Linked DNA regions of Anolis sagrei. The main gene of each other region encodes a partner of the protein of the gene in region 2 in a complex. Links are inferred from orthologs where the notes say so. Each region holds a gene or a part of one and is shown on either strand. Other genes may lie near its edges.

Region 1 (4,652 bases), on a different chromosome or scaffold from region 2:
GCTTGAGCTCCATTTCTTGAGCTCTCATGCTGTGATATGTCAGTAGTAACAAGAATGAACTGCTGTGAGAGCATTAGTTGAGCTACCCCCTATCCACCAAATTCATCTGAGAATTTTGGCCTGCAATACTGCTTCATGTCATCCTCCGCTTCCATAAAAAGCTGGTTTATAGGGAAATCATATAATTAGTCCAACTAGCCCACTACTATGTATTTCAGTTGCCTTTGACACTGCCATATATCCACCTTATCTGCTTTGAACTGGATTATAGGAGTCTACAGATAATCTGGATTTTATATGGTAGTGTAGAAGGGGCCTTGGAGGTGGGCAAATTGTGTCCATAGGCTTGCAGGGAGCTCCCTAAAACTGTTTCTGTAAGCTGTGTCTGCTCCTGAACCTTCCTTTCAGGCAGGAAAAAGGTAAATTGTTCCTCCTGGAACTCTCCAGGAGCAGACAGAGACCTTTAAAATCGAGTGTAGCTTTCCAATCCTTCATATCCACTTCTCTTTCCTTTTTCTTTTTTGGCAGCCTATGTGGCCAGTGGAGGATCCCTGGGTAGAAAATTATCCATGGATTCTGCATCCAAGTCTTGGAAATATTTTTAAAAATCACAACTCTGAAAATCAAACATCAATGTTGCCATTTTATATATTGGTCACCATTTTACTATACCATTGTACATATGGAATTTGAGCATCCATGGATTTTGCTATCCATGATGGAGGGGAAAGTCCTGGAACCAAACATCTTTCCTTCAGCATGGGACCCAATGTAACTTACTGCAAGAAAAGACAAAGCTAAAAAGTTGTTGATAAAATTTTCAAACATAACTAAACAAACTACCATATCAAAACGCCATTAATTTGAAAAGCATCATTTAAGATCATGATAAAGATAAAAAGTACAGTATATTCTGGCGTATAAGACTACTTTTTAACCCAAGAAAATCTTTGCAAAAGTCAGGGGTTGTCTTATACGCAGGTGTAGTCTTATGCATGGGAGTCGTCTTAACTCTATATTTTAACTGGAAAAGTTGGGGGTCGTCTTATACGCCCAGTCATCTTATATGCCGGAATATACGGTACCTCTTTCCAAGAAAAAGTCCCTTCTGCACAAGAAATTAATTGTCAAATCCTCCCGATGGAGATCAGATCTGCCCCTTCCCTCCTGACTTTCAGAAAGCTTGTAAAATCTTGGCTTTGGAACATAGCATTCTCAGAATTATGATCGAGTCAATAACTGCTGACCACATGGGCGGATGATGATGAATTTGTGATTACCTTGACGACTTGGCTATTTGATCTGTATTTTAATGTATTGTAATGTATTAATGTACTATGATGTTATTATGTTTTAGCTTATCTGTATATGAATTTCCTGTTGTTAGCCAGCCTGAGTCCCTCTTCGGAGGTCGAGAAGACCGGGTTATAAAAGCTCTAAATAATAATAAATAATAATAAATAAAATGGGTTTTTTTCCTGCCTGCAAAAAGGATAGCAGAGAAGGGGACAACCTAGAGAATTCTCTCTCCCATGTCCTCACCAGTTGGCCATGTGATGATTGTGGGACTGGGAGAAAGCCCTTCTAATTCTGTTATACCAGTCATGGGCAAACTTTGGCCCTCCGAGTGTTTTGGACTTCAACTCCCACAATTCTGAACAGTTTGTAGACTGTATTGTCGAAGGCTTTCATGGCTGGAATCACTAAGTTATTGTGGGTTTTTTCGGGCTATATGGCCATGTTCTAGAGGTATTTCTCCTGACGTTTCGCCTGCATCTATGGCAAGCATCCTCAGAGGTGAGGTCTGTTGGAACTGGGAAAAAGGGGTTTATATATCCCTTTTATATAAACCCCTTTTTCCCAGTTCCAACAGACCTCACCTCTGAGGATGCTTGCCATAGATGCAGGCAAAACGTCAGGAGAAATGCCTCTAAAACATGGCCATATAGCCCGAAAAAACCCACAAGAACTTAGTTTGTAGACTATTAGGAATTGTGGGAGTTGAAGTCCAAAACACCTGAGGGGCCAAAGTTTGAGCATGTCTGTTATGCACTAGGTTTACTGGGAAATAGTTGTAAGTGCCTTGCATAACTGAGCACTTTGAGGTATAATGTATTCATCTTACTCTAAAGCGGAAACAGTGGAACCTAATCATAGCAGAACCAGATAATCTCCTTTATTTACACAGTAAATGTAAGACTCCCAAGCTTTGCATAGATATTGTCCATAGTCCATCCATGAGAAAAATTCACTAAAAATTCACAGCAGAATAGTTTTCTGTGTATTTTACTGGGGAATACCCATGGATGGGAGATAAGTCCTCGTTTGCTCTATTTCCTTACCTTGAGAACCACGCAATTGATTTTTTCTTATTTGCCCCTTTTAACTGAATGCTTGCTTTACAAATAGGAAACTGAGACTGAAAGGGAAGAGATTGCTAAAGCAGTGAAGTCAATCCCATAAGAGTAGCATCATCATTGCCCACTGGCATACTTCCTTTGGTAAAAGCGGTGTTCCTCCCTCTTACTCCTTTCCTGGTTCCTTTCATGGGTCTCAGCCAATTGTTGACATCTCTTCCTACTACTACAGGATCTAGTTCTAGCTTTTCCTATCCCTTGAAGATCCCAGTTCCCTCTCCTTTTTCCCATCAGCCATGAAAATTGTTTTTCTCACTTACTTGTCTCCTTCTCGGTGCCTCCTCTCTGCATCACTTTGCAGCTGATACATTTTTCAATCAGACGGTCGTAGCATAGGCTATGGTGATGGCAGGTGGTGTTGGGACTGGAGTGGCTGCTTCTCTTCTTCCTCATGGCTGAGAGTCTTGTTTTCTTTTAAAGAACAGTTTAGGAAGATGAACTAAAGAGCTAACGATACAAATTTTGCCCAAAGGAGAAATCTCTGAACCGCTGAACCTTAAGGCCTCAGCAGATTCAACACTCTTGAGGTCTCATTTCCTCCCAGAGGCCCCGAAGGGTAGCAAGGGCAGATTTGCATGAGCAACCCCTCCTCATCCTGAGCCTCCCCAAGCATCCCTACATTGTTTTGCAGCAAAACCCATGTGAAAGTGATGCAGCACAATATATTCCGTTTCTTGTGACTTCCACAGTCTTTGATGTAGAGCCTTGCTGTGAGAAGCATTCCAAGACTGGGAATGTTCTTAAACACTGCAGACAGATTCAACCAGAAAAATCAGCAATAGCAGAACACATGATAAACAAAGCTGGGCATAGAATATTATTTGAGAACAAGGAAATTCTAGACTAATTTGACAACCACTATATCAAACAATACAATGAAGCCTTTGAAATCCACAAGCACATGGACAATTTCAACAGAAAGGAAGAAACCATGAAAATGAACAAAATTTGGCTACCAGTATTTAAAAAACCTCTAAAATTATAATAGTAAATAAAGAACACCACTGACACAGGAGGACTCCAGGTAGTAAGCAATTAAGGCCCAGTACACACCACCCAGGCAAAGGATGTTTCTAGGCAGCAAACAATTCAAAGGGAACAAAGGCCAGGTGACTTCCATGCAGATGTCCTACTCACATGCTAATGGGTGAATCCCACCCAAGACATTAAAATCTAGCTTGCTAATTGCACTCCTTACACTTGTTTAACATATGATGGTTCTTGCCTCCCACTTTGGACATTCCATGGGTAGATATACCCCACTTGCTTGATTACCACCAGCTCTTCTGAAGATGCGAGCCACAGATGCAGGTGAAACGTAAGGAGAAAATGCTGTTAGAGCATGGCCATACAGCCTGAATGAAGCAGAGAGTGTTTGAGGATCCGGACATCCATAGGGATACCAAGGTGCTTGTTTATAAAGCTATTGTCCTCCCAACCCTGCTATACGCATGCGAAACGGGGACTGTCTACAGACGTCACACTCAACTCCTGGAATGATTCCATCAGTGTTGCCTCCAAAAAATCCTGCAAATCTCTTGGAAAGACAGGCGGACAAATGTCAGTGTGCTGGAAGAAGCAAAGACCACCAGCATTGAAGTGATGCTCCTATGCAATCAACTCTGCTGGACTGGCTATATTGTCCAAATGCCCAGTCACCATCTCCCAAAGCGGTTACTCTACTCCCAACTCAAGAAAAGGAAATGGAATGTTGGTGGACAGGAAAAGAGATTTAAAAATGGGATTGAAGCTTAAAACTGTGGCATTGACACTGAGAACTGGGAAGTCCTGGCCCTTGAGCGCTCCTACTGGAGATCAGCTGTGACCAGCAGTGCTGTGGAATTTGAAGAGGCATGAATGGAGGCTGAAAGGGAGCAATGTGCTAAGAGAAAAGCGCATCAAGCTGATCCTGCAGATCAAGAATAGATCTCCACAGCCACCTACATATTCACCACTAAGTCACTAAACTTGGAGGGCCATCATCCTCAGACTACAAGGGATTGCTTCCGTAAGTAAAAGTAATACAGCCCAGAATCCACACAACATCACAGTGATTCCAACCATGAAAGCCTTTGACAATACATTCTTGAACTTTAATTTCCAGATTTTGCCTATGCTGGCTAAAAGATTTTTAAAAAATTAATTTTGAAAAGAAAGTAAAACTAATCAGTGGCCTGATACATCAACAGTGTTCTGAAGCAATTAGTTTGCTGAGATATTGGCTTCCATGTTAGT
Region 2 (4,652 bases):
TGTCTGTCAAAAAGCCACTATGGAAATGTGGTGACTCACTAGCATTCAATGTCATTACACCAAAGTGGTAGCGCACCATGTGAAACTGAACCATAGGACAGTACTGCAGAAGACTGCTCACAAGAATAAGAGAACACTGCATTACCATTTTGCTGGATGTCCCTTTTGCTGTCAGCCATCAGTTGCAGACATGACTGTAGCACTAAAGAGAAAGATTTAAATTAGAAGGTAGGTGGATGCCATTGGAATTCAAACCCACACTGCCCAAGTCTCAAAGTCCTCAACGAAGAACAGTTTAGTTAGCTTAGTATAGACCAGGGGTCCTCAAACTAAGGCCCGAGGGCCGGATACGGCTCTCCAAGGTCATTTACCCGGCCCTCGCTCAGGGTCAACCTAAGTCTGAAACTACTTGAAAGCACACAACAATCCTATCTCATCAGCCAAAAGCAGGCCCACACTTCCCATTGAAATACTAATAAGTTTATATTTGTTAAAATTGTTCTTCATTTTAATTATTGTATTGTTTTTAAGTGGGGTTTTTTGCACTACAAATATGTGCAGTGTGCATAGGAATTCATTCACTGTTACCACAATTGTGTTTATTGTAATGTTATTTTGTTACTGTATTTATATCTTTTTTTTCTATGTAATTTTGATGACGTTGCTTGTTGTTTATGTTTTGGTTTTATTTTGCTGTAACATGTTGTCTGGGCTTGTCCCCATAGGGGAGATGGTGGTGGGGTATAAATAAAGATTATTATTATTATTATTATTATTATTATTATTATTATTATTAATGGGTTTTTTCAAATTATAATCCGGGCCCTCCAACGGTTTGAGGGACTGTGACCTGGCCCTCTGTTTAAAAAGTTTGAGGACCCCTGGTATAGACTAAGGGTTTCCCTTCCACCATGTCTCCGGAATGACAGTTGGGAATGTATTTTTTTCTTCTCTCCTCTCTGTTTCTGCTCGCCTTCTGATTGGTTGTTTAAAATGGATATTTTTCCACTGCATACCTTTTTGAATCTGACACTTTAGTATGGAGAGTATGTGCTGTGTGCTTTGAGATCTCTCTCTGCTTGTGTGTCAGGAGAGATGTAATGACTGGTGTTTTTCCCTCTACGGAAACCTTAGAAGAGATGGGTGCTAGAGTAGCTCAGACCCTGTTCCTGATTATTCAGAAAAGCAGTTACACTTCGTAATGGTAGCAGTGGTAGCAGTGTTCCTAGACTTCAATATTATCTAATTATTTTGATCATTAAGACCAAATAAATTCACCACGAACCAGCCTGGCATAGCATAGCAATGCTCCCTATTTCTCTGGCCTAACAGCTTGTTTGGAGTAACAGACCATGCTGGACTAAAACAAAGGACTGTGCCACTTTATAAAATATTTCTAATCTATGTGTTGTCGATAAACACATGGCATATACTCTCTTTCAACAGCGCTTATGGTTATAGCGACACACATACGTCTTCAGGTATATCTTTCTGTAGATCAATAGTTATATCCTACAACTGATCAAAGTAGCCATTATTTAAGTCTTGCATTTCTGTTCTACCTTTCCAGCATATGATGGTAATGGCAATAAAGGAAAAATACAATTAAGACAGTAATGCAGCAGGTACTTACTGTACAGGGTGTGCAGTTTTAGCCAATGTTTCTATATAAAGCATTTTGATATATCTGAATGTGTGTAATTTAACAGATTGCCCATTTTCGACAAAGGAAAAAGCTGTAGCAAACCACAAGACTGTGCCGGTGTTTCAAATAGAGTTGCCAGATACAGATTGTCACAATTTTTGGGTCCTTTTCACTCTCCAAACAAAGTAAGTACAGTTATCTCAACAAATCAAATCTCTACCACTTTGTTAGTTCTTATTCCCTTTCCTTGGCAGTTTCCCAATAGCTCATACCTGGCCTCTCTGTCCAGATCTCTCACCTGTTTCACCTGAAGACCTTTTCTTCCTGTGTTGCTCTCCATTCCGCATGGCCTCTTGGCTACTTGGATGTGGTCTGAAAGCAGCCCCCTACCAATGGCATGAGAACACAATACATTAAGGCTGCAATTCCAGTTTTTCTCTATCCAAATACCTCCCCCTGAAGCCTTACAACGCACCTGGCTCGTAGAACCTTCCGACTTCTTCCAGTGGGGAAGGAACGGACTGGCCTCTTTCCTTTTCTCCAGAGACCCCAAGGACAGTGAGGATGGAAGCCGTGCTTGGACTCTGGAGTTTAGCTTGCTAGTCAGAATGGTTAGTTCCGTTTTCAAGACAGTAACATAGTAAAGTGAGACCGCTGCAAGACAAGAAGACACAAGCACTGCAAGCCCTAGCAAGATCAGCAAGAGCCCTTTGTACTTAGAACCATATGCTGAAGGGGAGGGGTTGCTCTTTCCTCGCCGGTGACCCATTAACATCTTGACTCCTGTCTTGAAAGCCAGGTGTTTCTCACTCCAAAGAATTGATCCAGTTGGCCAGCTGCATCCACAATGTGCAGCCAACATATACTTCCTGTTATATGGGCCTGTTGATAAAAGCATTAAATGTTGTGCGACTGTACAATTTGTGGCTTTGTTCCTCTACACACCTTCCTCATTTCAGTTTCAGATTCATTTTATAAGTGGCTAGCCCAACTGTTTTGTGCAATTTGTGCAATTTGGATTGTTTTGCCCTTTGATTCAAACATGGCAAAGCAGAAAGGATAACATATACTTGCCTCTTTTGTCATTCCAGAGGGTGGGAGTAGCCACTGAAAAGGCTATTACTCCAAACAGAAACTAAACAGGGACCTTATCACATTGGGATTTTTTTCCATGTCAGGAACAACTTGAGAAAGTGAAAGTCATTTCTGGTGTAAGCGAATTGGCCATCTTTAAGGACATTGCCCAGGGGACATCCGGATCACTCAAATCCCTGCCTCGAGCATTCTGGTGGGAGGTAAAATAAACACTTTCCCAAAGTATTGAGTATAATATCCATTAGATGACCTGCATGGGTGTTTTTTAGGGTGTTCTCTGTGTCAGTTACATGATAGGTCCAGTGCTAGAGATGCCAGAGTGTAAGTGCAGATTCCTATTTCCTTATTTGTATACCATAATCCCATACTATTGCCCATGGAGACAAGGACAACATGGCATTTTATCTAGTCTTTGTATGCCCTTTATTCATAGTTATCAGGAAAATGTTCATCAAAACACGTTTCAGCATTAGATCACACAGTTCCAACTTCATATCACCCTTTTAGATTTTAGTTATGTGAAGCAAGAATGCTTAAGATGTCTAGTACCAAATGTTTTTGATTTCAGGTTCCATCATCTGGAACATTGATGCGCATCATCTAAAGCATTGATGTGCAGATCCTGCTCCACAGCAGATCACCTGCCTTATACTCTGTAATGAGATATAAGACTCTTCACCCTGTAAAGGCAGCCGTGGCTTGTCATGATGAAAAAGGGCATGTCCTGTATGAGATACACTAATGTATCTACCTGATGAGTTTGTCTCTTATTGATGCTGCTGCTAAAGATACAGGAATATTCCAGTGCTGTCATGTCCACTTTGCATAGCAATTATATAACTTGACTGATCTCATATGAATACATGCAAATGGAACTGTAGCCATCATCAACAACAAATGGCCTAATAAAGCAATTGATCATATTAAAAAGGAAAGTTTGGAGATGGAAGAGAATGTCTTCTGTCGGTGTCAATTGGGATTTTTTGGCAGTTGATGCACAGGCCAAGATTGTTGGGGAGGTAGAGAAAGAAGCTGGTGATGCATACAAGCGCAAGTCTAGATTTTGAGACCAGCAACCAACTCTCAAAATAGAGAAAGATGAGAAGCCTTCTGCTGCCTGAGGTGTACCATCACTATTGACCTCACCTTGTTGAATGTTGAGAGGCTGAATGGGAAAACCTTCAATAAATATTTGCTATGAATAACAAATCAAAGATTTTAAAATTGTATATATCCCTCAAGTGGAAGGTGAACCAATCTTATTTCTTGTCCCATCCTATCTAGCTTTTTGCCTTCCCTCTCTTGTTGGAAGAAGAAGCCGTGATAGGTTTTCCCAACAAATGCCCACTTTCATAAGAGAGGGGAGGGTTACCTTTTGTTCACTCTGGAAGTAGAACTTGAAGAGTCTGAAAAGCCACAGGCTCCACATCAATAACATGGTCATAGGCCTCACATCTGTAGAGCAAGTTTCTAACATTTCTTCTGTCTCTTCCTAGAAAGAGGGCAAAATAGCTGCCAAGTTTATTTATTTATTTTGTATCAAAAGCATTGCATAAATTAGTAAAAAACTAATAAAAATAGAAGGCGCGCAGGTGGCTAAATATCTTTTGACCAAAAACGGGCAACAGTATTCTCTGTTGCCTCCAGCAATTCCTCCTCTATACATGAGGCAGGGCACAGTGGACAAGCATACAGATGCGGAGTTGTCTGTTCTGCTCCACAGTCACACAAGGTTTGGAATTCTTTTAGGTAGTGCCATTTTGCCAGGTTGTCTTTTGATCTGCCCACTCTGCTTCCGAGTCTATTCAGGGACTTCCAAGTTGCCCATTCTTGGTTTGCCCCTGGAAGACCCTCGTGGAGGGACATACAGTTGGGATTTCCTGGTTTAGCTGCCCAGAGGGATACCCTTGCT

The links. The genes of interacting proteins can lie anywhere in the genome.
Region 1: the proteins of TNFSF13B (region 2) and tumor necrosis factor receptor superfamily member 13C-like are in contact, whole or in part, in a crystal structure (PDB 1OQE), measured with the Homo sapiens proteins. The link is inferred for Anolis sagrei from reciprocal best matches to the Homo sapiens genes TNFSF13B and TNFRSF13C. Residues at the interface, in NP_006564.1 of Homo sapiens: Ser162, Tyr163, Asp203, Thr205, Tyr206, Ala207, Met208, Gly209, His210, Leu211, Thr228, Arg231, Cys232, Ile233, Pro264, Arg265, Glu266, Asn267, Ala268; in NP_443177.1 of Homo sapiens: Asp26, Leu27, Leu28, Val29, Arg30, Val33, Leu37, Leu38, Arg39, Pro41, Arg42.

What each region holds. Positions count from the first base shown.
Region 1 is NC_090025.1:160,896,558-160,901,209, reverse strand, and holds the start of tumor necrosis factor receptor superfamily member 13C-like, read right to left. Parts: upstream 2,939-4,652; 5' UTR 2,811-2,938; coding exon 2,678-2,810; intron 1-2,677. UniProt on the Homo sapiens protein: B-cell receptor specific for TNFSF13B/TALL1/BAFF/BLyS. Promotes the survival of mature B-cells and the B-cell response.
Region 2 is NC_090021.1:150,058,663-150,063,314, forward strand, and holds the start of TNFSF13B (tumor necrosis factor ligand superfamily member 13B), read right to left. Parts: upstream 3,319-4,652; 5' UTR 2,544-3,318; coding exon 2,121-2,543; intron 2,032-2,120; coding exon 1,944-2,031; intron 203-1,943; coding exon 146-202; intron 1-145. UniProt on the Homo sapiens protein: Cytokine that binds to TNFRSF13B/TACI and TNFRSF17/BCMA. TNFSF13/APRIL binds to the same 2 receptors. Together, they form a 2 ligands -2 receptors pathway involved in the stimulation of B- and T-cell function and the regulation of humoral immunity.